Arabidopsis thaliana: one gene and its partners. The protein of the gene in region 2 interacts with the protein of the main gene of each other region in a pairwise test. Each region holds a gene or a part of one and is shown on either strand. Other genes may lie near its edges.

What was found.
Region 1: the proteins of JAZ10 (region 2) and AIB interact in a two-hybrid assay, tested with the Arabidopsis thaliana proteins (one study listed by BioGRID).
Region 3: the proteins of JAZ10 (region 2) and JAZ4 interact in a two-hybrid assay, tested with the Arabidopsis thaliana proteins (one study listed by BioGRID).

The regions. Positions count from the first base shown.
Region 1 is NC_003071.7:19,088,477-19,096,121, reverse strand, and holds AIB (ABA-inducible BHLH-type transcription factor), read left to right. Parts: upstream 1-2,748; 5' UTR 2,749-3,234; coding exon 3,235-4,935; 3' UTR 4,936-5,169; downstream 5,170-7,645. Other genes in the region: SDH4 (succinate dehydrogenase subunit 4), read left to right, coding at 5,654-6,109; PI4K GAMMA 4 (phosphoinositide 4-kinase gamma 4), read left to right, coding at 7,588-7,645. UniProt on the Arabidopsis thaliana protein: Transcription activator. Positively regulates abscisic acid (ABA) response. Confers drought tolerance and sensitivity to ABA.
Region 2 is NC_003076.8:4,215,483-4,222,944, forward strand, and holds JAZ10 (jasmonate-zim-domain protein 10), read left to right. Parts: upstream 1-3,345; 5' UTR 3,346-3,518; coding exon 3,519-3,630; intron 3,631-3,707; coding exon 3,708-4,202; coding exon of another isoform or gene 4,203-4,207; exon of another isoform or gene 4,208-4,452; coding exon 4,453-4,514; coding exon of another isoform or gene 4,515-4,557; 3' UTR 4,558-4,980; coding exon of another isoform or gene 4,981-5,020; 3' UTR 5,021-5,431; downstream 5,432-7,462. Other genes in the region: AT5G13210 (Uncharacterized conserved protein UCP015417, vWA), read left to right, coding at 1-1,106; AT5G13230 (Tetratricopeptide repeat (TPR)-like superfamily protein), read left to right, coding at 7,032-7,462. UniProt on the Arabidopsis thaliana protein: Repressor of jasmonate (JA) responses. Interacts with and suppresses RHD6 and RSL1 transcription factor activities to negatively regulate jasmonate-stimulated root hair development.
Region 3 is NC_003070.9:17,928,779-17,937,138, forward strand, and holds JAZ4 (jasmonate-zim-domain protein 4), read left to right. Parts: upstream 1-2,611; 5' UTR 2,612-2,879; coding exon 2,880-2,955; intron 2,956-3,821; exon of another isoform or gene 3,822-4,201; coding exon 4,202-4,374; intron 4,375-4,495; coding exon 4,496-4,659; intron 4,660-4,753; coding exon 4,754-4,838; intron 4,839-5,040; coding exon 5,041-5,308; intron 5,309-5,409; coding exon 5,410-5,470; coding exon of another isoform or gene 5,471-5,477; exon of another isoform or gene 5,478-5,549; coding exon 5,550-5,655; 3' UTR 5,656-5,884; downstream 5,885-8,360. Other genes in the region: AT1G48510 (Surfeit locus 1 cytochrome c oxidase biogenesis protein), read left to right, coding at 6,111-6,255, 6,341-6,432, 6,519-6,748, 6,991-7,183, 7,274-7,560, 7,657-7,873. UniProt on the Arabidopsis thaliana protein: Repressor of jasmonate responses. Interacts with and suppresses RHD6 and RSL1 transcription factor activities to negatively regulate jasmonate-stimulated root hair development.

The sequences.
Region 1 (7,645 bases), on a different chromosome or scaffold from region 2:
TTTCTTAATTAGTCAAATAGTTATTGCTTTGATGACGTATTTTTCTGTTTTGTGCTTGATTTTGATGTTAAAGCCAGACGAGTCATACTAATATTCAATTGCACATGAATTTCTCACCTCGAACTAAATTTTGTTGCCAAGTAACTCAGCTTGTTTTCTTATTGTATCATTTGGTATTTTGGCTAACCAAACCCACTAGTTAAGTTAGCGTTAGCATTTGTCACACGTGAGACGTGTGAGATTATGATAAACAAAGAAAGCCACGTGGCGCATGATGTATTTTTGCCGTACTTTTGAATATAAAGGTTAAAAATGTCGACCTCATGTGGCCCATTGAAGCCCACGAAAAACGCGTGATATATAAAGAAGAATAGAAGATGAGTTGCGTAAACAAAGCGACTTATTTAGCCCCTTTGTTCCTAACCGAATTTTCCCAAGTAACACCACTTTGCAACATTAGTTTTACACATATTGGTAGCTTTCGAAGAAAACATACGTTGAATGACAAAATATATAGTACATATTAACATATATATACTCCCACGGTTCCTTTATACAAATATGTTTTAGAAAAACAAACTTGTTTTAAGATTTTATGCATGTTTTTCTATGTAGTTTTTAAAGTATAGTTTTCGAGAAAATATAGAGGTATATAAATGAACGGTAACACTTTTTTTAATAAGAAATAGTGATACAATATAAATTTTAGTACCTATATTATGAATTCACAATAGAGTCGGTTTTGTTAACTCGTTTTTATTTTTGGCTTATTTTCCCTACATTTTGTTGATAATCATTCAAGTTATATATCCTTTACACTTCTCAACTTATAAATGGATAGACGCGTTTATAATTGAGAAAAAGAATGCGAAATTGATAAGCTGCTCAAATCTTCTACAACTTTTCATCTACGAAATGGTTAGACGCGTTTTTCGTTAGAATAGAGAAAGAGAATGCGAAATTGCGAGGACAAAAGAAGTGAAACACGACAAATCATTTTTGCAATTTACGTTTTCAAAAGGCATATGAGACAGGAGAAGTTATTGTCTGCAATAAAGACCACCGTAGTCACGAGTGTCTCCACTTGACCCCACATTTTCCCTATCATTCGCTCTCTGCCATTCGATTATTGAGCCCTACTCTTATCCGTTATTGTTTTTTTATTCTCGTTGCATAATCTCACTAATGTATATATAACACTCGTTTGAATTTTGTTAAAACTATTTTGTTTTATTTTATATAAAATTACCGAAATTCAATCTACAAATTCAAATTTAAATTAGGTTCTCTACATATCTTAAAAAGATAAATAAGTGAAATTCATAATGATAAAGCCAATTTTGTTTTGTAACTATTATTAGCTTCTTTTTTCTTTTTTTTGAAGCAATGTATCTAATCTATTCTCTTCTAACGAAAGAGTATTAATTATTATAGACAAAAAAAAATAGTATTAAACAAGCCTACGCAAAACACGTTCAGTATTAGGTTATAGTTTTTAGTACTAATTAAAATATGAGATATGAGTTTTTTTGTTCTATTAGAACTTAAGAAGATAAAGAATTTATAAGTTGGTGCGACTCCGAATTACTCAAAAGACACCAATCATCGCGTTATCATCCTAATCTACAAAACAAGAGGTCAAATTTTGCATGTCACGTCACAATATTGTACATTATCATCACGTTTTTTTACAAAGCTTTAGTATATCAACGTATACATTTCAATGTACGAGTTTTCATTGTACTATCTATCCCTAAGTTTGAATTAGGTTTATCGAATCTCTTTCTTTATTTATATGCAAATTTTAATGATGTCATTTTAAATTATTATAAGAAAATATCCCCATACAAAACATGGTGAGGCTTATCTCATGCGATAATACTTTAAAATAGGTTATGAATATAATCATGTAATTATAAAAAAAGTTTTTAATTAATGGGGAGAAAACAATTAGAAAACTACAAACACATGATGATAGAAAAGTAGGTTAAAAGTCCATCACATGGTGCTCTCTCACAGAACGAGACCCTTTTTGTTGAACGTTACTGTTGGGCATGAGATTCACGCAAATCCTATGCGACAAATAATTTTCTTTCCATAAAAATCTAAATAAAGAAAGAACGTACCATTTTTTATATCGAAGTTAAGGACTATATATATACTATTGATAAGAATAATATACTCAGACTATACTATTAATTAAATGGACCCACGTTAATAACGATGTCTGAAATAACCAAAACCCCACCAGACAATTCAGACAATATTTCTTTGTTTCTTTATGCATGTGAGTTATTTTTATTGGTAGAGAAAAAAATAAAAACAAATAATTAATTTAGTACTATTTAGTACATAATAAATTTTAAAATATTTCGACCATGTGATCTATACTTCTTAAGTACATTACTATAATTTGAATCTCTCACGTAGGTACATACACACGTGTGTACACAAAACACTATTTTCTCTAAAATTTACCAAGTGCAAATATCGTTGTTTCACTAAAATCACCATCAAGTATGTATTACTTTTACGAAATTAATCGGATTTGGAGACAAATTCAAAGACTAGCCAGATTTAGGGGTGAGATAATCCATTTGCAAAATAGATTTGAAAAGAGATTTTAGATTTTCTATCTTTATTCGGAGAGAAACAATCAAAGTAAGTGAACTTAAAATCAGGAAACAGAGTTAATAATCAGAGTAATTATTAACCATGGTTAAGTTGAATAACCAAAGTAATTAACGTGCATAAGTAACCATGGTTGGGTTTTTAAAAAGAGCTTTCATACAAACTTCAATTACCCCAGCAAGTCTTGTCTCCTTCTCTCTCTCTCTCCCTCTCTAACTGTATCTTCTTCTTCTTCTTCAACCTTCAGACTTTTCTAGTTGCAACTCTCATTCAATTGTTCAATTTCTCTGTAAAAATCAAAGCTTTTTGGAATCTTTCTTCGGCGAGATATTTCTTCACCGGCGCAAGCTTCTCTTGAGCGTGATTCATCACTGGGTTTGCATTTTTTCCTGGTGGGTATTCTTCAAATTGTTCAAAGCTCCGACCTTTTCTTCCTTAGAATCTGATTACTGGAATCTTGAAGCTGGAGAGACTCGAGTTTATATGGTTTCAAGCATCGTTGAGTCAATCATTGAGTTGTGTAGAAGAAAGGTTTGGTTTTCTTCTCCGTTTAAGTGGTTTTGGGTTTGGTAGGATTTGGTGTAATCTGGGAGATAAAGAAAGATGAATATGAGTGATTTAGGTTGGGATGATGAAGATAAATCGGTGGTTAGTGCTGTTTTAGGGCATTTAGCTTCTGATTTTCTTCGAGCAAACTCTAATTCGAATCAGAATCTCTTTCTTGTTATGGGAACTGATGATACTCTGAATAAGAAGCTCTCTAGTCTCGTTGATTGGCCAAACTCGGAGAATTTCAGCTGGAACTACGCTATTTTCTGGCAACAAACCATGTCTAGATCCGGACAACAAGTCTTAGGTTGGGGAGATGGGTGTTGTCGAGAGCCTAATGAGGAAGAGGAATCAAAAGTTGTTAGGTCTTATAATTTTAACAACATGGGGGCAGAGGAAGAGACATGGCAAGATATGAGGAAGAGAGTGTTGCAGAAGCTTCATAGGTTGTTTGGTGGATCTGATGAAGACAATTATGCTTTGAGCTTAGAGAAAGTTACTGCTACTGAGATTTTCTTCTTAGCTTCCATGTATTTCTTCTTCAATCACGGTGAAGGCGGTCCTGGGAGGTGTTATTCTTCAGGGAAACATGTGTGGCTCTCTGATGCAGTTAACTCTGAGTCTGACTATTGTTTCAGGTCTTTTATGGCGAAATCTGCGGGAATCAGAACGATCGTTATGGTTCCTACTGATGCTGGTGTTCTTGAGCTTGGTTCTGTTTGGTCTTTGCCTGAAAACATTGGCTTGGTTAAGTCTGTTCAAGCTTTGTTCATGAGGAGAGTTACGCAACCAGTAATGGTGACTTCAAACACTAACATGACTGGAGGGATTCACAAGCTTTTCGGGCAGGATTTGAGTGGAGCTCACGCGTATCCTAAGAAGCTCGAAGTGAGAAGAAACTTGGATGAGAGATTCACTCCTCAAAGTTGGGAAGGCTATAATAACAATAAAGGTCCAACATTTGGTTACACACCTCAGAGGGATGATGTGAAAGTGCTAGAGAATGTGAATATGGTTGTAGATAATAACAATTACAAGACGCAGATTGAGTTTGCGGGATCATCAGTTGCTGCTTCTTCGAATCCATCTACAAACACTCAGCAAGAAAAATCAGAATCTTGTACAGAGAAAAGACCAGTGAGCTTGTTAGCAGGAGCAGGAATAGTTTCTGTTGTTGATGAGAAGAGACCGAGAAAGAGAGGGAGAAAGCCTGCAAACGGAAGAGAAGAGCCATTGAACCATGTGGAAGCTGAGAGGCAGAGACGCGAGAAGCTTAACCAAAGATTCTACGCTTTACGATCAGTTGTTCCAAACATTTCTAAAATGGACAAGGCTTCTCTACTTGGAGACGCAATTTCTTACATCAAAGAGCTTCAAGAGAAAGTCAAGATAATGGAAGATGAAAGAGTAGGAACAGATAAGAGCTTATCAGAATCAAACACAATAACAGTAGAAGAAAGTCCAGAAGTTGACATTCAAGCTATGAATGAAGAGGTTGTTGTAAGAGTAATCTCGCCTTTGGATTCACATCCAGCTTCAAGAATCATACAAGCAATGAGAAACTCAAATGTTAGTCTAATGGAGGCTAAGTTATCATTAGCTGAAGACACAATGTTTCACACTTTTGTGATAAAGTCTAACAACGGGTCGGATCCATTGACGAAAGAGAAGCTTATAGCAGCGTTTTACCCCGAGACCAGCTCGACGCAACCGCCATTGCCTTCTTCTAGTTCACAGGTCTCTGGTGATATATAAGTTTCACATGATGGTGAAGCTTTTGTCTATTCTTGTTTCAGTATAGATAACTTTCAGGTTCAACTAGAAATAGATAAAATCCTTTTTTCTTTTCTCTTTCTTATAGTGAAAGGAATCCGGTTTAAGTATATTCATTAACTTTATTTAGACCATTGATTCACATATTTGTATCTTGGGAAAATATTTCCTATACTTTAGAAAATCAAATAAAGTATGAAAGATATTTGACTTCTCTTTCTTTGTTATGGATGCTTTATTCAGTTACAATTTGGGATCCATTCTTTTTTTTTTTCAAATAAAGCAATAGTTATAACAAGTTAATATTATCCAATCAATGTTATTCAGGTAAATATTTGATTAATTATCTTGTAGAATGTTCATGTACATTTGAATTTTGAAGTGACCAAATCTTATATATTGGTCATGAATATGATATATTGACATTTCAAGAGACTGAGCTAAAAATTACTTAAAAATGAGAATCAATTATTTTTTTTCCATTGGTCCATTATTTTATGCAATGCAGCACATAATAATCTATTTTGGTTTTGGTTTGGGCTTCTGGTAGTTCTGAAAAGCCCAGTATAAAGCCCAACTCCATTAATGCATCTTCACCTCTACGACGAGAATTGTGCTTCCGATTCATTTCACATAGGGTTTGTTTCTCCGATCAGATCCAATTTCAATCCTTCTCCGTCAGATTATCTCCTCGGCCACGATGTCTCTCCGCCGCACTATCCTCGATCTCCACCGTCAAACCCAGAGAGCCACTCTCTCAAAGTCTCTACCTTTCTCGATGAGTCACATCTCCTCCGCATCCGCCACCGCCGCCGTGAGAAACCCACTGGGAAGAGACCTCTCTTCAATCCCCTTCGCACAAGCCCAGAAACTGAAACCAGATTCAACCAATCTCGTCACCGATCGCTCGATTTCGTCTTCAATTGGGCAATCTGAACTCAACAAGGCAGCCAAATTCTCGCGTCAATCGTCTTCTCGAGGTTACACTAATGGCTCTTTCTTACGCAAAATCCCTGTAGTCTTTCACATACATGAAGGAATGGAAGAGATTTTGGCGGATTATGTTCACCAAGAAATGACAAGGAATTTGATTGTGATGTCTTTGGGATTGTTCCAGATTATCGTTCTTAAAGATATTATCTTGTTTCTTCTCTGAAACCAAGTAAACATCTTTTGGGATCTAAGGAACACTCTCGATCATCATCACCTGTTAATGAATGAATAGTGTGGGCTAAAAAAAAGGTCTTTCCTTTTATCTTCTTTGTTTTATGAATAAGAACTTGATGCAATGTTGCATTTTTACCTTCAAGCTTTTGTTGTGTGTTGTTTCAGTTTCTGGTTTCGTGTATTTGATTCTGTAAGGCTTAAAATGGAATTCTAAGCCTGTTAATCTTTTGATTGAATAATGACAACTTTTCTCAGCTTTGAGGATCATTTAATCACTACGTTTGCATTTCGAATTTAGCTTTACTGTAATCAGAAGCACGAGAGACTTACGTGAGTTTTGCAGTAGAAAAGTTGTGGTTTTTACCAAGTAGATGGTTTGATTATATACAACTTTTGAAGAGATTTTCTGGTTTTGGATTTGGTGTGATCATTATAAAGGTGATGGAGACTCTCAAGAAGTCACAAACAGAGAATTGTCGATGTTATGTTTACTTAGATCAAACATGAGATTTTGAAGATATAAAGCTATCAAATTGAATCTTAGTTAGATGTTCATGAACCTGGTTAAGATGCAACTGGACCAACAATATTCATGTTCCATAGCAGAAAGCCTGAAAGGTTGAATAGAACAAAGGGATATGAAACGAGTTAAAGAAGCGAATTAAAAGGCCCATCTTTTTATCTGTAGGCCCATACGAATTACGATTGTACTGGTTCATTGATTCAAATACTAACTCTCTCCTTATCCGAAGTTTTAAAAGCATCCTAATCCAAAACGGTGAAATAATGACGATTAAAACCCCAAAGTCTCTGGCTTGGTTTCCACTCCAAGGGTAAAATACAAAACAAAATCAACGAAACTGCCGTACACCGTTGACAATAAACAAAGGAAAAGTGTACATTAAAGAAGAAGAAGAAGAAGCTTCATTGTACGCGTCACCTACGCGAACGAGGTGGAGACACGTGTCCTTCCTACCACTTTCCTTTTGAAAAACCTCTCTCTCTTTCCTCTAAACTCTTTTGACCCTTGTTTCGCGAGCTGTTTTGTACGCCATTAGATTGAACCCTAAAAACTCTATTATTGGATTGGATCATCATCGTTAAAGCTCCACGCCTTGTCCCAATTTCCTCTTTGGTTCTTTCCTTCTGGTAAGAATCCGCTCTCTTTCTCTCTTTCTTTTTTCTTCATATGGTACGTCATCGGCGACATCAATTGGCTCGATTTGATTCACCTGTAGCTATCAATCAATCCCTGATCTGTTTAGGTTTGATCTCCTCTGTTTTTTCCTAGGGCTTGTTATTGTTGTTTCTCGAAAAAGAAGAAGAAGCGATGGTATTGGGATTTTAGGGATTATTGCGGTTTGTTGTATATATATATATAGAAGCTGAGGGATTTTGTGTTGTGAAGAACATCGAATCCTGTTTTTTTCCGTAAGAAAGTTCTTAGATTTCTCCAAGTGAAAGAAGATGTCATCAGCTGGTGTTGCGTTAAGTCCGGTTCGTAGCGAGCCATTGATTATGCCTC
Region 2 (7,462 bases):
TTGACAAAGCAACTCTTCTCTGCGAGAGCATTGCTAGGAAGATCTTTACTCGAGAATCATTCCCTGAATACGAAGGCGTTGTAGAAGCTCACTATGCATACAGAGTTCGTGATCGGCTAAGGAAAGATGTTCTTGTTCCTCTGCGTAAAACTCTGCAACTGCCTGAAGTATATATGGGAGCGAGAAACTGGGATATTCTTCCGTACAACCGTGTAGCATCAGTGGCGATGAAGTCGTACAAGGAGATATTCTTGAAGCACGACGCAGAGAGGTTTCAGCAATATCTTGACGATGCAAAGGCGGGGAAAACCAAGGTAGCTGCTGGTGCTGTGTTGCCTCATGAGATAATCAGAGAGTTAGACGGTGGAGACGGTGGACAAGTAGCAGAGCTGCAATGGAAGAGAACGGTAGATGATATGAAAGAGAAAGGTTCTTTGAGGAATTGTATAGCTGTCTGTGACGTTTCAGGGTCTATGAATGGTGAACCAATGGAGGTTTGTGTGGCTTTGGGTCTGCTAGTCTCTGAGCTATCTGAAGAGCCATGGAAAGGAAAGCTAATAACTTTCAGCCAAAATCCGGAGTTGCATTTGGTGAAAGGAGACGATCTGTACTCAAAAACAGAGTTTGTTAAAAAAATGCAATGGGGTATGAACACTGATTTTCAGAAAGTGTTTGATTTGATTCTTGGAGTGGCCGTACAAGAGAAGCTGAAGCCGGAAGAGATGATCAAGAGGGTGTTTGTGTTCAGTGATATGGAGTTTGATCAAGCGGCGTCGTCGTCACATTATTCAAGACCAGGCTATGCATTTTTAAGGCAGCCTCCAAGTAATCCAAGTAATGGATGGGAAACGGATTATGAAGTGATTGTGAGGAAGTATAAACAGAATGGGTATGGAGACGTTGTGCCGGAGATAGTGTTTTGGAACTTGAGGGATTCGAGAGCAACGCCGGTGCCGGGAAACAAGAAAGGAGTGGCTTTGGTGAGTGGCTTTTCGAAGAATTTGATGAAAATGTTTTTGGAACATGATGGAGAGATTGATCCTGTGATGATGATGGAGACTGCTATTTCTAAAGATGAGTATAAGTCGCTTGTTGTTGTTGATTAAGAAGCTTTACTGTTTTTTTGAGTTTGGTTTTGTATTCCTGTTTCATGGTTGAAGCTTCCATTGCAATTTTATTTTAATAAATTTGGCCCATTGATTTTACTTTTTTTTTCTGAACCAAGTAATCGATACGAGACCACTAACCTGGCTTTTATTCATCAATCGATGCTCTCTCTACACGTAACCTGCTTCAAAACACTCATAGTTCGCCGGAAACAATCACTCGTATCATCGGATCTCGGCGTTTAGAATTCAGAATCCGACGACTTTGGCGAGCAAACCTTACGCAAACTATGGATGGTATTGGAAATGAACGACAACAAGAACAACCGTTTCATTTACAGATTTACTTCTTCAAATGGGCTTTTCTTCTCTAAATGGGTTTACTACCTTAAGGGGCTTTTCAACTATAGGTTCAATTATATTCTTATGTAAGGGTACTAACTAGTGTGGGCTGTAAACGACTTAAAGTTTCGGCCATTTAGTTTTATGCAAGAAAAAAAATATAGATAATACAGTAATGATGAATCCACTATACATGTTAAATCCAATATAATAAATCCACTATACATTAGTGTTCTCATATTTCGTTTCAAGATTCGATTCAAAAAATTTGAAAATGTTAAATATGTGTTTCTGAGATTAAAGGCCAAAAGAAGGGTAAGGTCGTATATGAAAGGTGGACAGAGGGGCAAATTAGTCAGCTTGAAAAATACATCGACATTAAAAATCGGCAGCACTGACAAAACGTGTGATAACACAAATAAAAATAATCGGAAGAAAAAGAATAAATAAGGCGTATTGACTCTGGAACGTGAGAAGATGAAAGAGAGCGACGAAAACCTCTAAAGACTTATCGAGAAGTGCACCTTAGCCTAGTGAATAATGATATGTATTGACATTAACTACTACTACTACAGCTCCCAACACGTGAAAGACATGCATCTAACTCTTTCACTTTCGGTTGCCAAGAAAAAAAAAAAAAAAAAACTTTCACTTTCGGCATCAAATATATACTACTAAAAAAGTTTTTTATACGTAATTCTTTTTTAATATTTGATTAGTTCAGAATATTAATTAAAAAAATTACTTTTCGTAATCACTACATTTTGTAGTTATATGATTTTTAATTTAAAATAGTAAAAAGGAGAAATGTAACTAATTAAGCTAACATGCGCGCGATAGAATAAGGTGAAGTTTAAATTTGAGCACAAGATAGAAAATTGAGGTCAATTTAATTCGGAAGTGGTTCAAGGTATATTTTCACAAGAAAGAAAAACGTGAGTTCATTGAATCCCTCTATAACTTTACTTGAGAACAATGTAATAATATGTAAATCTGTTAGGAAACGAGCAGCCACATATGCTTTAAACAAGAGAACAAGAAAAAGAGCGGCCACATGTGAAAAAAAAACACCAGCCAAAATGTGAAACTAAGAAAAGAAAAGAAAAACCATCGACATCGTCCAAAGGATCGACCCGTCTTTTCTGGTTTGGCAGAAAACAAACTTCCAAGTTCCGACTTGACCTAGTCTTTATGCATCTGCAGTGGTGTTTTCTTTAAATCTTTTTTTGAATGGATTTGAAAATCTTATTTTTTCTTCTTCTTTCAAAACACTAACTGTGAATCACCACCAACATTTTATTGTTCTAAAATCCCTATTTGTATGTTTTATTGGTTACTTTCCCAAATATGATGAAAGTTTATTGGTGTACTTTAGTTTAGAAATGTAAGAAATTTCAGTTGTATTATTAGGTCAACCAAATATTATTCTTGAATAGTAATGTCAAATTTTGTTTATATTGAAAAATCAATAAGACTGATATCTACTAAATGTGATTTGCTATACTAGTAGAGCTAGTAGTAGCAAGATTAAAATTCATATTAAGAAAAAATGGAAAAGAAAAACATGTTTCGAGAAAAATATACAGATCAGAGACTAGAGTAGAAAACAAATATAATGTCAGAAGAACCCAATGTGACGAACAGTAACAGAAACATGTTACCAAATTTTTGAAGATATATTTTTATAAAACATTACAATGTTCATTGGACTTCCGTTATTTCCGGATATAAAATATCTTCTTTCTGCGTAGCAAGCAATTACATTACATTAGGTATATTAAGAATTTAAACATGTGTTTTGAATCATTAAATTAATTAGATAAGTAAGAGAAGAGGTTGGGAGCCTAATAAAAACAAAACAAAAAGGAAAAAGTGGATAGGTTGCCAATTGTGCCGAAAAGAAAGAGAAAGCATGAACCTCGTGCGTTAAATAAGTATCAGAGACATACTACATTTTAAAAACTCTCACATGAGAAATCAGAATCCGTTATTATTCCTCCATTTATTCATCTCAAAACCCATATCTCTCTGTCTTGATCTCTCTCTCACTTTCTAATAAGATCAAAGAAGATGTCGAAAGCTACCATAGAACTCGATTTCCTCGGACTTGAGAAGAAACAAACCAACAACGCTCCTAAGCCTAAGTTCCAGAAATTTCTCGATCGCCGTCGTAGTTTCCGAGGTTCGTTTGGTTTTTAGTCGCTCTCTCTTTTTTTTTTCTTGCGATAAATCGAATTTATTCATATGGAACTCCTGCAGATATTCAAGGTGCGATTTCGAAAATCGATCCGGAGATTATCAAATCGCTGTTAGCTTCCACTGGAAACAATTCCGATTCATCGGCTAAATCTCGTTCGGTTCCGTCTACTCCGAGGGAAGATCAGCCTCAGATCCCGATTTCTCCGGTCCACGCGTCTCTCGCCAGGTATTTTTGTCTTTCCGGTAAAGTTTTTTTTTTCTTTCTAACTTTTTTGGCGCTACCAGAAAAGACGAAAAAATTTGAAATTCAAATTTTCAAAACATTCATTTTCCTCAGGTCTAGTACCGAACTCGTTTCGGGAACTGTTCCTATGACGATTTTCTACAATGGAAGTGTTTCAGTTTTCCAAGTGTCTCGTAACAAAGCTGGTGAAATTATGAAGGTCGCTAATGAAGCAGCATCTAAGAAAGACGAGTCGTCGATGGAGACAGATCTTTCGGTAATTCTTCCGACCACTCTAAGACCAAAGCTCTTTGGCCAGAATCTAGAAGGAGGTTAGTATAATAAAAATAAAAATCACTTAGTGCTGGATTCTTCTAGAATTTTAGTTACATATTATTGCATGTAGAGATCTAAGAAGAGTTTGTTGTTAGAGAGGAATTGGTTGCTAATTAGTTTGGAATTAGATATCAAAGAGTTAAAGACTATAGTTTATGTCTATACGTATTAATATACGTTATTAATAAAAGTATAAACATGTTGTTTAATTTCTGATAAGAAACTGGTTTATGCGTGTGTATGCAGATCTTCCCATCGCAAGGAGAAAGTCACTGCAACGTTTTCTCGAGAAGCGCAAGGAGAGGTAATGATTCTTCAACAATCCAAGGATTTTTACCCCCAAATAATTAAAGAAAGGTTTTTATTTTTCTCTCTCTCGACCTTTTTTTTACTATAAGTTATTTAAGATAGTAATTATGGGTCCTGCCTCTTTTACTCTCACATACAACTTAAGATTCAACTAGTTTTGTTCAACAACGCACATGCTTATACGTAGATAGATAATGGAGATCAGTAGTAATATCGGTATACGTAGGTTACTATTGTAATGGAACTTTTAAAAAGCGCGTTGACTTTGAGTCTTTGACTCTAGTTCTGTTTGCTACACCGACAAGTTATATTTTTCAAAATGATGAGAAAACGAGGAGAAACACCGGAAAAAAATTTGAACTTTTACTTTTATCAGACCATACGGCCAAAGAAAGATCTGTATATTATATAAGTTATCACAAAACGCGGTTTCACATTTTCTTTTTCGTCTTGTTGTGTTTGCAGATTAGTATCAACATCTCCTTACTATCCGACATCGGCCTAAACGATCTCTTTTTAGATTGGGACATGGACCAAATTTGTCTTTTTCAATCGGAAGACATCCATGTTCGTTTTTGGATTTGGCTTATTTCCAATCTTCTTTTGAAGCCTTCTTCGTCGTTGCTAAATCGTATACTATTCACGACAAACGTTTTTAGGAGATTACGTTACCTACTAAGATTATATATATTGGTTTGTTTTTAAAAATGTCTATTATCTTTATTGTCATTGATAGCTTGATTTAAGAAGCTCTCTCTTATCCCGTGACCTTCTACTTTTGTTTTATTTTTTAGTATATGGTAAAGAAAATTATAACACGCCTCTTTTAGCTTCTCATGAAGCTTCCGTATCAGAGTATTATTAAAGGAAATGTGGCCATTCATCTTTGATTATATTGGTTGGTCTCTAGCTTGGGTTGTCCTAATTGTTATAATGGAAAACAGTTTAAGAAACACGTGAGTATTAGTTATATAATACTATCAAGTCTACCCGACTAATTGTGTCTTTATGTCAAAAGTCTTTTAACATGAGTTTGGTGGAATTTGTACATTGGAATGAAGATGAAAAGAAGTGGTAAAGTGAACGTACTTTGTGTGGCTTCTTTTAGACAATTACCCCTTTCATTGAATAGTATCCATCACTAGTACTAACAAAAAAGGGATGGCTGGTCCGGATTTAAGAAACAAAAACCACACAACCATTCACTGCGTCTTCTTTATCATTGAAACCAAGATACTGTAGCTTATTGATATGAAATAAATACCACCATGTGCATACGTGAGAGTTTTTTTATTACATGTAGTTTCTTAAAAATGTTTTCGTGTCTCTTTAAGTTGTGTCAAGTAAATTGCTTCTCATTTAATCTACTGCGATGACATAAACTTAGTTTGCACATTGCAATGGCTAATGAGAGTACTAAACTTACATCATGTTGTTTAAGCTTTGAAGATGGAATACCGTATATCAAGTTTTAATTAGTAGCTCTGATTCAGATGTTTGGTTTAGATTCAGATTCAGATTAGTCAAGTGTTTGGCTTTGGTCAAGTTGACTGCATAAGCCAATCCTAATATCTTTGATTCATCACGAGTAATTCAAATTAATTATTTGATTCGATTTGGTCCAACACCAACAGTTTATCCTGTTCGTCTGGAAAAAATCTAATATATCAACCAGCTATTTACATAGCATTCGGCCAAATCATTCCAATAGAATGAAACATCCTATATCAATCAACAGATCGAGAAAATGAATGTCCAAAAACAAAACCTGTACTAACTGATTCACATCAGTTTGGAAACAAACTTAAGAAACAGGAATACTTAATTTGAGGAAAATCCTTGTAAATTTGATTATAAAAAAAATTACTTGCTAGATGGCAATACAATCTGCGGAACTGAGAGATTTCATAACCCAAAAAAAAAGGAAATTGCATAATTTAAAATTCACCATTATCAGTTTTGAGCAAACAAAACAGAAGTTAGAAAAGAGATTGACGAATCGGGACATCAGTTTTAAAAAGCTCGATTTATATAATCCGCATGAGTTATAGGAAAGCACCGTTGTAGTGCAAAATATTCATCATCTGCTCCGATTCGTTCAATCAATTTTTTCAGTTGAAATTAAGATTCAGAAAAACAAGAGGAAAACTAAACACCAACTTCAAAACAAATTCTAGCAATCCTAGCTTAGAAATTCAGATCTTAAACATGGAATAACAAATAACGAAGAGTATTGAGAAGGAGAGCTAACGAAACGAATCTGAGTCTGTTGGGTCATCACAGCTACAGCCCTCTTTTATAGGGTGAAGCCTTTAGACTCAGAGAAACCCTAGTTTTGAATTTGGTTATCGAATCTGGGCCACATGGGTCACACTATTACACATTATTGGGCCGGCCCATATCTCTTTAAATTTGGTTTATCCAGAATCATTCGATCTCAGTTGGGAAAAACCGGTTTTGAATAAACCGGATTGGACACTACTCCACTACTTGTCTCCACTCTGCTCGTAATCCGCATGATCGTGTTCATGAGAATAATTCATGTTGCGCAGACTCGCAGATTGATGATCCGATGCAATCGCATTCGACAATGTGGGTTTTCTGTGAAAACTGCGGCATTGGATTTAGAATCGTCGGATTCGATAATCCCAGGCTTAGACTCTCATGCTTACGGTGCAATGCTCCGTCGCTGCATTCAGAAGAACGACCCAATTTCAGCAAAGGCTATTCATTGCGACATCTTGAAGAAAGGAAGCTGCTTAGACCTTTTCGCCACAAACATTCTACTCAACGCTTATGTGAAAGCTGGCTTTGACAAAGATGCGTTAAACCTGTTCGACGAAATGCCTGAGAGAAATAATGTCTCTTTTGTTACTCTTGCGCAAGGGTATGCGTGTCAAGATCCCATTGGTTTGTATTCCAGGTTGCATCGAGAGGGTCATGAGCT
Region 3 (8,360 bases), on a different chromosome or scaffold from region 2:
TGGACGAAGAAGACGACGGACGTAACTGTTAAGTGGGACACTAATCTTTTATTAAAGCCTAAAACGAAGAAGATTAGGGAAACAAATAGTCAAACCTGTTAAAGACGAAACTTGACTATGATTAAACGTTAATGACTTTCAAACTGAAGATTAAGTACTAAGGACTGCATTTTCTTATTTTATATGCATAAATGAGTAAAGTAGATAAGACTATGAATGAAGAAAACAAAAAAGATAAGACTATGAATATAATTTCTTGAAGATTTTATCATAAATGAATTTATTGTGACTTGAAGAGTTTTAAATTTTTGGAGAAAAATAGAAAGAAATTACATAGTTTTGAATTTTTTGATATTATATAGAAGCTTTCGCCTTTCGCGCGTAATTTTAAATATTTAAATTAATAAATCTAACTAATTTTAATTATCGTTGTGATTTTATATGTTCATACTAAATCGTGTAATAATTTATTATGTATGTACAAAAGTTATAGTTTTGAATTTTTGATTAATAAAAGATATTTCGGTCGTATTTTTGTTTATAATTGAGTTAATCAATCCAACTAATTTTTAATTTTTCATTATCGTTGCAGTCAAATAACATTTTTTTTTCTTTCGAAAATTTAGCTTTAATTAATATTAGAAACTTTTGGGCATATTATTATTTATATATGAATAAAGAAATCTAACAAATTTTCAACACTGCTGGAATTTGATATATTTGCACCCACTAAAGTAATAATTGTTAGATACAAATTTGAATAGTTATAGTTATATTTAATGTTAGAAGATAATATCTATATAAATTATTTGATATGGACCTAATAGATAATTTTTGTAATTATTTACTTCTAATTAAACTAATTCAGATTTTTCGAATAACAAGTATTTTTATTTATTTCTTACTAAATTAATTCAGATTTTTATAATAAAAATATGTTAAAACTTTTTCTTTTTGAATTTAATGTTAAATTATATTAAAAAGAAAAATAAACTTGTTACATATGAAATGCTAATTGTTTTGAGAGTTTTTTTAAAGAAAAGGAACTTCTAATTGTCTATTATCTATTGCCTTGATTCAAAGTTTTAAACCAAACTTGGATGCCATCTTTGAACTTCAATCCTCCACTACCTTGAATTGTGCTCAAACGGTTTCTAAGATTCTTGTCTATAATCTTCACAAGTATTTCCGTCGGTGATGATTGCTCCCCATGCCTGATGCCTCCTCCTATTTTGTTCATTCCAAATTGAGTGTATAGAGTTCTGTCTGTAGTGCATACCTAAGTATGTAGCTCTTCGTTTTGTATAGAAGGTTTTTAGATAAAGTTTTCATAACCTCTGTCCAACTCGCCGAATATCTGTCCGAGAGAATTCCCCTTGTTAAGTCTTCCCATATCTTTTTTGAGTAGGCGCAGTGGAAAAATAAGTGTTCCTTCGTCTCTCTACCTGTTCATTGCAAAAAATGCAACTCGAATCTACATTACATACCACTTTCTCATTGTCTCTCTACTCAAATTCTGTTTTTCACAACCAACCAAGTAAAAAGGGATACTTTGGAGTAACGTATGGGAACCATATCTCATTGTGTCCCTCTATCGACAACTTTGCTAAAACTTGTGTTCAACGTTCTCTTTTTGTTATGTTTTTTCTTTTTAAAATCTGGAACCTATATAAAATCAGCTTATTAGAATATATTTATAAACTTTAATTTTTAATTTTAAAAATATTATATGGTAATGACTTATATAATCTCAAGAAGAATTGTTTTTTCCATAATTCGTATGGAGCCTTATATTTTTTTGGTCTGGCTCTGGTTCTATGTGGCAAGTTTTGCAGCTTGCTCATAAATTCATAATGCCAAGGGTAAGCTCCATACACTCGAACTTGGTATGAACATGGGAGCTCAGCAGTGTACATGTACTTGTAATTTAACCTCATGACTATTAACTCTTACAGTTCCGAAAATAACCTCTTTCTTAGGAACTCTTAGGGTTTATCCAAAAACAAAAATACTTTGATATATTAACAAACGAAATCTAACAACAGTAAAAGAGGAAGTTCTCCGTATGGGAGAACCAATACGAAGCATAAATGCTAGATTTTAACAAATGAAATCTAGCCTTTTTAACAAGGACATGAGCATACCAAAAAAAACTTTAAACGAGAAAAACCATCAATCTCTATAAAAAAGAAGGCCATTCATCCGGGATGGCTACGATCTATAGGTTAATTCTTATCTAAAAAAAACATTAATCAAAGATAAATCAATAATGAGGCACTGCATGACCCAAAGCAAGAATTCAAACTTTGTATGAAGAGGGATCGAGACGACGGTGAAAGCTCTTCTCAACCACATTATTACCATGTTTTGTTGTGTAGAATGAATGAGTCAATGACTCAATGCACTACAAATAATTGCTCTCTTTTAACTTGAGAATAAGGGTTCTTATTATAATGCTTATCAGCTTTAAATATAAAAATAAATAATGTAAAACATTATTTTAAGTTTGATATTAACGACATATTTATATATTTATATATTTATATCCAAGTTGTTCAAAATAAAAATAAATATATATATTTATATCCGATGATTGAATTTCTAATATTGGAAGTTTATTCCGGAACAGGAAAGCAGACGTGGGATATACACATACCGCATCGGATGATTTATATTAAAAAAATATATGTATACATCATTAGAGGAATCATAAATCGGCGGTGTGTGTAACTTCAACTCACGTTTTTCATTTCTCTCCAAAGTCCTTCAATTGTTACTAATTCTCTCTGATCTCTCATTTCTTCTCTTCTCCGGTGACATTTTTTTTCTCCCCCGCGAAAGCTAAACCGTTTTTGTATTCTCAACGATTGATAAGCCTGATGGAGAGAGATTTTCTCGGGCTGGGATCAAAGTTATCTCCGATAACTGTGAAGGAGGAAACTAACGAAGATTCAGGTAATTCATCTTCAACATCTTCCATTATGATCTGATGATTGTGTTTTTCATCTCACTTTTTTTTGTTTCTATTTTTGTAATCTCTTTTTTTGTTTATTGTTCAAGTACATATATATTGTTTTTCTAGCTTGATTGGGAGTCCTACTGTCTGGTTTTTTCTTGAACAAGAAATTTTTTCTTCGTTTTCTCGGGAAGAGAAAAAATAAATTAGGGTTTCTTTTTTCTTGATATATATTTAAGAAATTAGGTTTTAGTACTATAGACAGAAATTTAGCTACTCGAATTTGTTTGACGTAGCCGATGAAAAAACACGTTTTGGGACTCGATAGTTAGAAAATTCATACGTTCACGATCTACTTTTGAAGTTTTTTTCATTAAATATTTTTTGCAAACTACAAATGTACAAGTATACAACTATACAAGCAAACACCAAACTTGTTGACGTTAGTAATTTAACAAGTGTTAGTATTATCTTTGAAAAATAATATTCAGAGAACAAACTTGATTTTCTAGGTGACTAGGTGATGCATGTTTCTAAAGCTGTTGGTAATGTTGAGTGTTTTCAAAATAATTTCGTTTTTTTCTTCAAACAGCCGACACCGACAGAACAAAAATGCTATATTTTTTTTGTTGCTTACAAAATTGATCAATTGGTTTCAATACAATAGTATCTTCTTTAGAAAAGATTGTTTTTTTCAAAGCCGGATTGAATATTGAGAATTAGAACATTGGCTGGTTATTCTTTTTGAAAAGTTTATGCCATTTTTTAAGGTTTATTAAGCAACTTGAATTCTATCAGTATTATTTAAAAACGAAGACGTGAAATGTTGGGAAAAGAATGCGTTATATAGCGACCGGCTGACGATTAGAGATTTAACAACAAATGCAAGTTGAATTATATAAAAGCAAGATTGATTGTGACTTGATTAAGTTTTATTTCTATCCAAGTAGACTCATTGATTAAGTTAGGATCATGTTGGGTATTAAATTTAGATCAAGTTACAATTTGGATGAATAATTTACTTACCCACGAGGAATTTAATAGTTAGTTCTTGTCTTTTTATATTCCGAAACGTGCCATTTCTTGAAAGTATTTGTATGATCACTATTTTCCCCAGTGTGTTTGGCTTTATGCAGATTTGTTCATTGTTGATGAATCTAATGTTAAGAGTCGTCCACTTTAGCATAGCTAGATCTGAGTGTTTCCTAGTTTGATAAAATCTAAAGACATTTGCTCATGTTTCAGCCCCAAGTAGAGGTATGATGGATTGGTCATTCTCAAGCAAAGTCGGTTCTGGTCCTCAGTTTCTTTCTTTTGGGACATCCCAACAAGAAACGCGTGTAAACACAGTCAATGATCATTTGCTTTCTTCTGCTGCAATGGATCAAAACCAGAGAACTTACTTCAGCTCACTACAGGTTAGGCTATTTCTTGAAAAGAAAAAAAGTAGTGATAAAGTGTGATTTAGTGACCTTGTAAGAAAGCTTGGCAATTGGTTTAGTTTCTTCTGGTCTCAAAATTGATACAAAATGATCTCAGGAAGACAGAGTGTTCCCAGGTTCCAGTCAGCAAGACCAAACAACCATCACAGTCTCCATGTCCGAACCAAACTACATCAACAGTTTCATAAACCACCAACATTTAGGAGGATCTCCTATCATGGCACCTCCAGTTTCAGTATTTCCTGCTCCAACCACTATTAGGCATGCACTGCATTCTATCTTCTTCTGTTTAACATCAGATACAGAACCTCTTTACTTCTATAGTTGACTCGAGCTCCTTTATGTTCATCTCCAGATCTTCTTCAAAACCACTTCCCCCTCAGTTGACAATCTTTTATGCCGGTTCAGTATTAGTTTACCAAGACATAGCTCCTGAAAAGGTAACCAAATTTCCTTCAATATGTGTTACATTACAGTCCAAGCTATCCACTGACTAAGTATTCAATCAAAGAAATAAGTTTCACGTATAGACATGCTGAAGTTATAGAAAGTTACTAACCTGGTTTCAACATACAGTATGTTAATGATTCATAGATATGATAAATCTTTGTCCTTACTTCTTCATTTATTTTGTATTCATAGGCCCAAGCTATCATGTTGCTAGCCGGAAATGGACCTCATGCTAAACCGGTTTCACAACCTAAACCTCAAAAACTGGTTCATCACTCTCTTCCAACCACTGATCCTCCAACTATGCCTCCTAGTTTCCTGCCTTCCATCTCTTACATTGTCTCTGAAACCAGAAGTAGTGGATCCAACGGGGTTACTGGACTTGGACCAACAAAAACAAAGGCGAGTTTAGCATCCACGCGCAACAACCAAACTGCTGCCTTCTCTATGGCTCCAACAGGTTATAAATGAAGTCTTAACTCCTATTAATGTTTTGTCATCAAACTTCTATCTTAGGTTTAGTTTGTTATAACCAAAAAATCTTGCTATGATTTAATACAGTGGGTTTACCACAAACACGCAAAGCATCCTTGGCTCGGTTCTTAGAGAAACGCAAAGAAAGGTACTGAGCTACAAGATTATTCACTTATTCACAATATCAAAACACAGGTTTGCTGTATATTGGCTTCGTTTTCTTGCAGGGTCATTAACGTATCACCTTATTACGTAGACAACAAGTCATCAATAGACTGTAGAACACTGATGTCTGAATGTGTAAGCTGTCCTCCAGCTCATCATCTGCACTAAAACCAATTTAGACCCCTCATTGTTCTAAAGGCTTTTTCTTTTTTCTCTGGCTCTGTATCCTATAGACTATAGTATAGTTGTTATAGCTTTTGTTTATTCAGATTTTAGTACACTGGGCTTGTAAAAGCAAGTTATTTATATATATCCTATAAATTTAATTTGGATACTGTATGTTTTGTCTTTACTCTTGCATGTGTATAAAAAACATAAAAGTAAGACTATTCAAGCTCTTCTAGATTTTGTTGAAGTCAACTTTATGTTTATACTTTTTTTTCGATAATTGATATAAAATATTTCCACCAGCAGATGAAAGTCATTTAATTAGTTGGTGCCATGTGCTATATCAGAAAATAAAACATTAGTTTATATACTTAATCAGTCCTCGTCGTCGTCGCCATATATAGTAGATCAAGAATCTTGGATGAGACAAAGAGAAGATCCTGGAGGAGAAAAAGATGACAAAACTCGTTTCCAAGATATTTAAGAGGTTGATTTCTCAAAGTCAGTACATGTCTTCTTCTACTACTAGCAATCTCCCTGCTGCTTCACAAACTTCCAATCTTGAGAGCCAATTGCTTTCTTCAGCTCCACCACCCGCAAGTATCTTGCACATGCTCTCTCTCGTCTAATTTGTGATTAAGTTCTGAATCTTGGTTCTGAATCTTTGTGTAAAAATGTTTTGCAGAGAAGAAAAGAGGGTCAGCGTTGTTATGGTACTTAGTTGGATTCACTACTTATGGTCTCGGTGAGACGTATAAGTTCCTACAAACACAAGTGGTCTGTGATTTTCATTATATACATTTTAATTATACGTGTTGTTCTTTGATCTGCTAAAGAATTTGTTCAAACTCTTTTGTTTCAAGTACAAGGAACATCTTGATTCTAGAAAACAATGCTTGGAAATGAAACCAATGAAGCTGAATACAACGAAAGATTTGGATGGGTTAGGATTTCGACGGGTGGTATGCAAAGGCATTTTCGATGAGCAAAGATCGATCTATGTGGGTCCAAAGCCTAGATCCATGTCTAAAAGTTCTGAAATTGGCTTTTATGTCATTACACCTCTTTTGCCAATCCCTAATGAACCTAATAGGTCAGGGATTTACTCTCTATATGCGCAAACCAAACTAAAGTCTTTTTGATCTCCATATATACCATCTTGATGCAAATATCTTTTTTCTTGTATATTTAAGTGTTTGGATGCAACATCTAGACTAGATGCAAATACTTGCAAATTTTGTGTCTCTTACAAATAAGGTTGCATACAAATGCACCAAAACAAACAAACAAACAAACATGGTCTAACTATCTTTTTCTTCTTCCTTTTGTCACTAGTATGAAGTCCCCTATTCTAGTAAATCGCGGATGGGTTCCTTCGGATTGGAAAGAAAATTCTCTAGAATCTCTAGGTACTGGTGGTCTTGTTGCTGCTGCAAAAGAGTCAAGAAAAGCTAATAAACTTCTCTCCTCTCAACAAAGTCTCTTGTCGAAGTTCTGGTACAAGTTGAACAACCCAATGATTGTTGAGGTTGGTCTTCATTTCATAAACTTAATGAGTACTCAATCATTCATTGCATGATTTGATATCATAGTTAAGTGTTATTGGAATATTTTTTAGCAGGACCAAGTCTCTAGGGCTATGCATGTGGAAGTGGTGGGTGTAGTTAGGAAAAGTGAAACTCCAGGCATATATACTCTAGTAAATTATCCAAGTTCGCTTGCGTGGTTCTACCTTGACGTTCCTAAACTAGCTCTAGCCATGGGGTTTGGTGAGGACACAATGTATATAGAGAGTACGTACACAGATATGGATGAAAGTAGAACTTATCCAGTTCCAAGAGACGTTGAGAACTTGACTCGTAGTAAGGATATACCACTGGACTATCACTTGTACACAGTTTTGTGGTAATTAACAAACATAACATCGAACTTATTGCACTAGTAACTGGTTGTTTTTGTTTGTTTGTTTATGGTAGTGTGCCTGATTGTTTCTATATGCAGGCACTGGAGTTCCCTGACTTGCTTTATTAAGGCGTCTTCGATTTTAATGCGAAGATTAACAAAATCTGATCCTATTGGTGTAGAGCCAATATTGATTCCAATTTCCATTCTCGTTTTTATATGTACCAAGATATACAGTCTTCGTAACTTATTTTGTAAAATAGACACTATTGGTGTTGGGTGTGTCACTAAACTCGACACAGGAAAAGTCAAATGACATGCCCAATGAAGTCCATAATGAAGGGTGAATAAGTTCGAAATCGCGGTTCGGATTGACTAAGATCGGTGGCCACCAGAAGATCGCAGAGAGGATATGGATTGTGAGCTTGATTATAAGCAAAGGAGAAGAGAGATAAATGGGATAATTTTATTACGAACCAGAACTTTTTGTATTCAATCAATTTTCCCGTATGTATTCATCTCTTAGAAACATCTCGCATCTTAAACATCATCATTTGTACTCTTCATTTGTATTATCAGTAAAACAATGGGAAAAATGTCATTTAATCCTCCAATTTTCAAAAAATGGTCATTTTATACATCAACTTCGTATGTGGCCGTTTAAAACATGAACTAAACGTTGACTAATTTTTAAAACATGATCTTTCGTTGATCAGGCCAGAATAGACATGCCGTTGTCAGTCATTAACGGAACTTTTAACGTCCTTTATCATCCGTTAACTTTATTAGTCAAGTTTCAAATT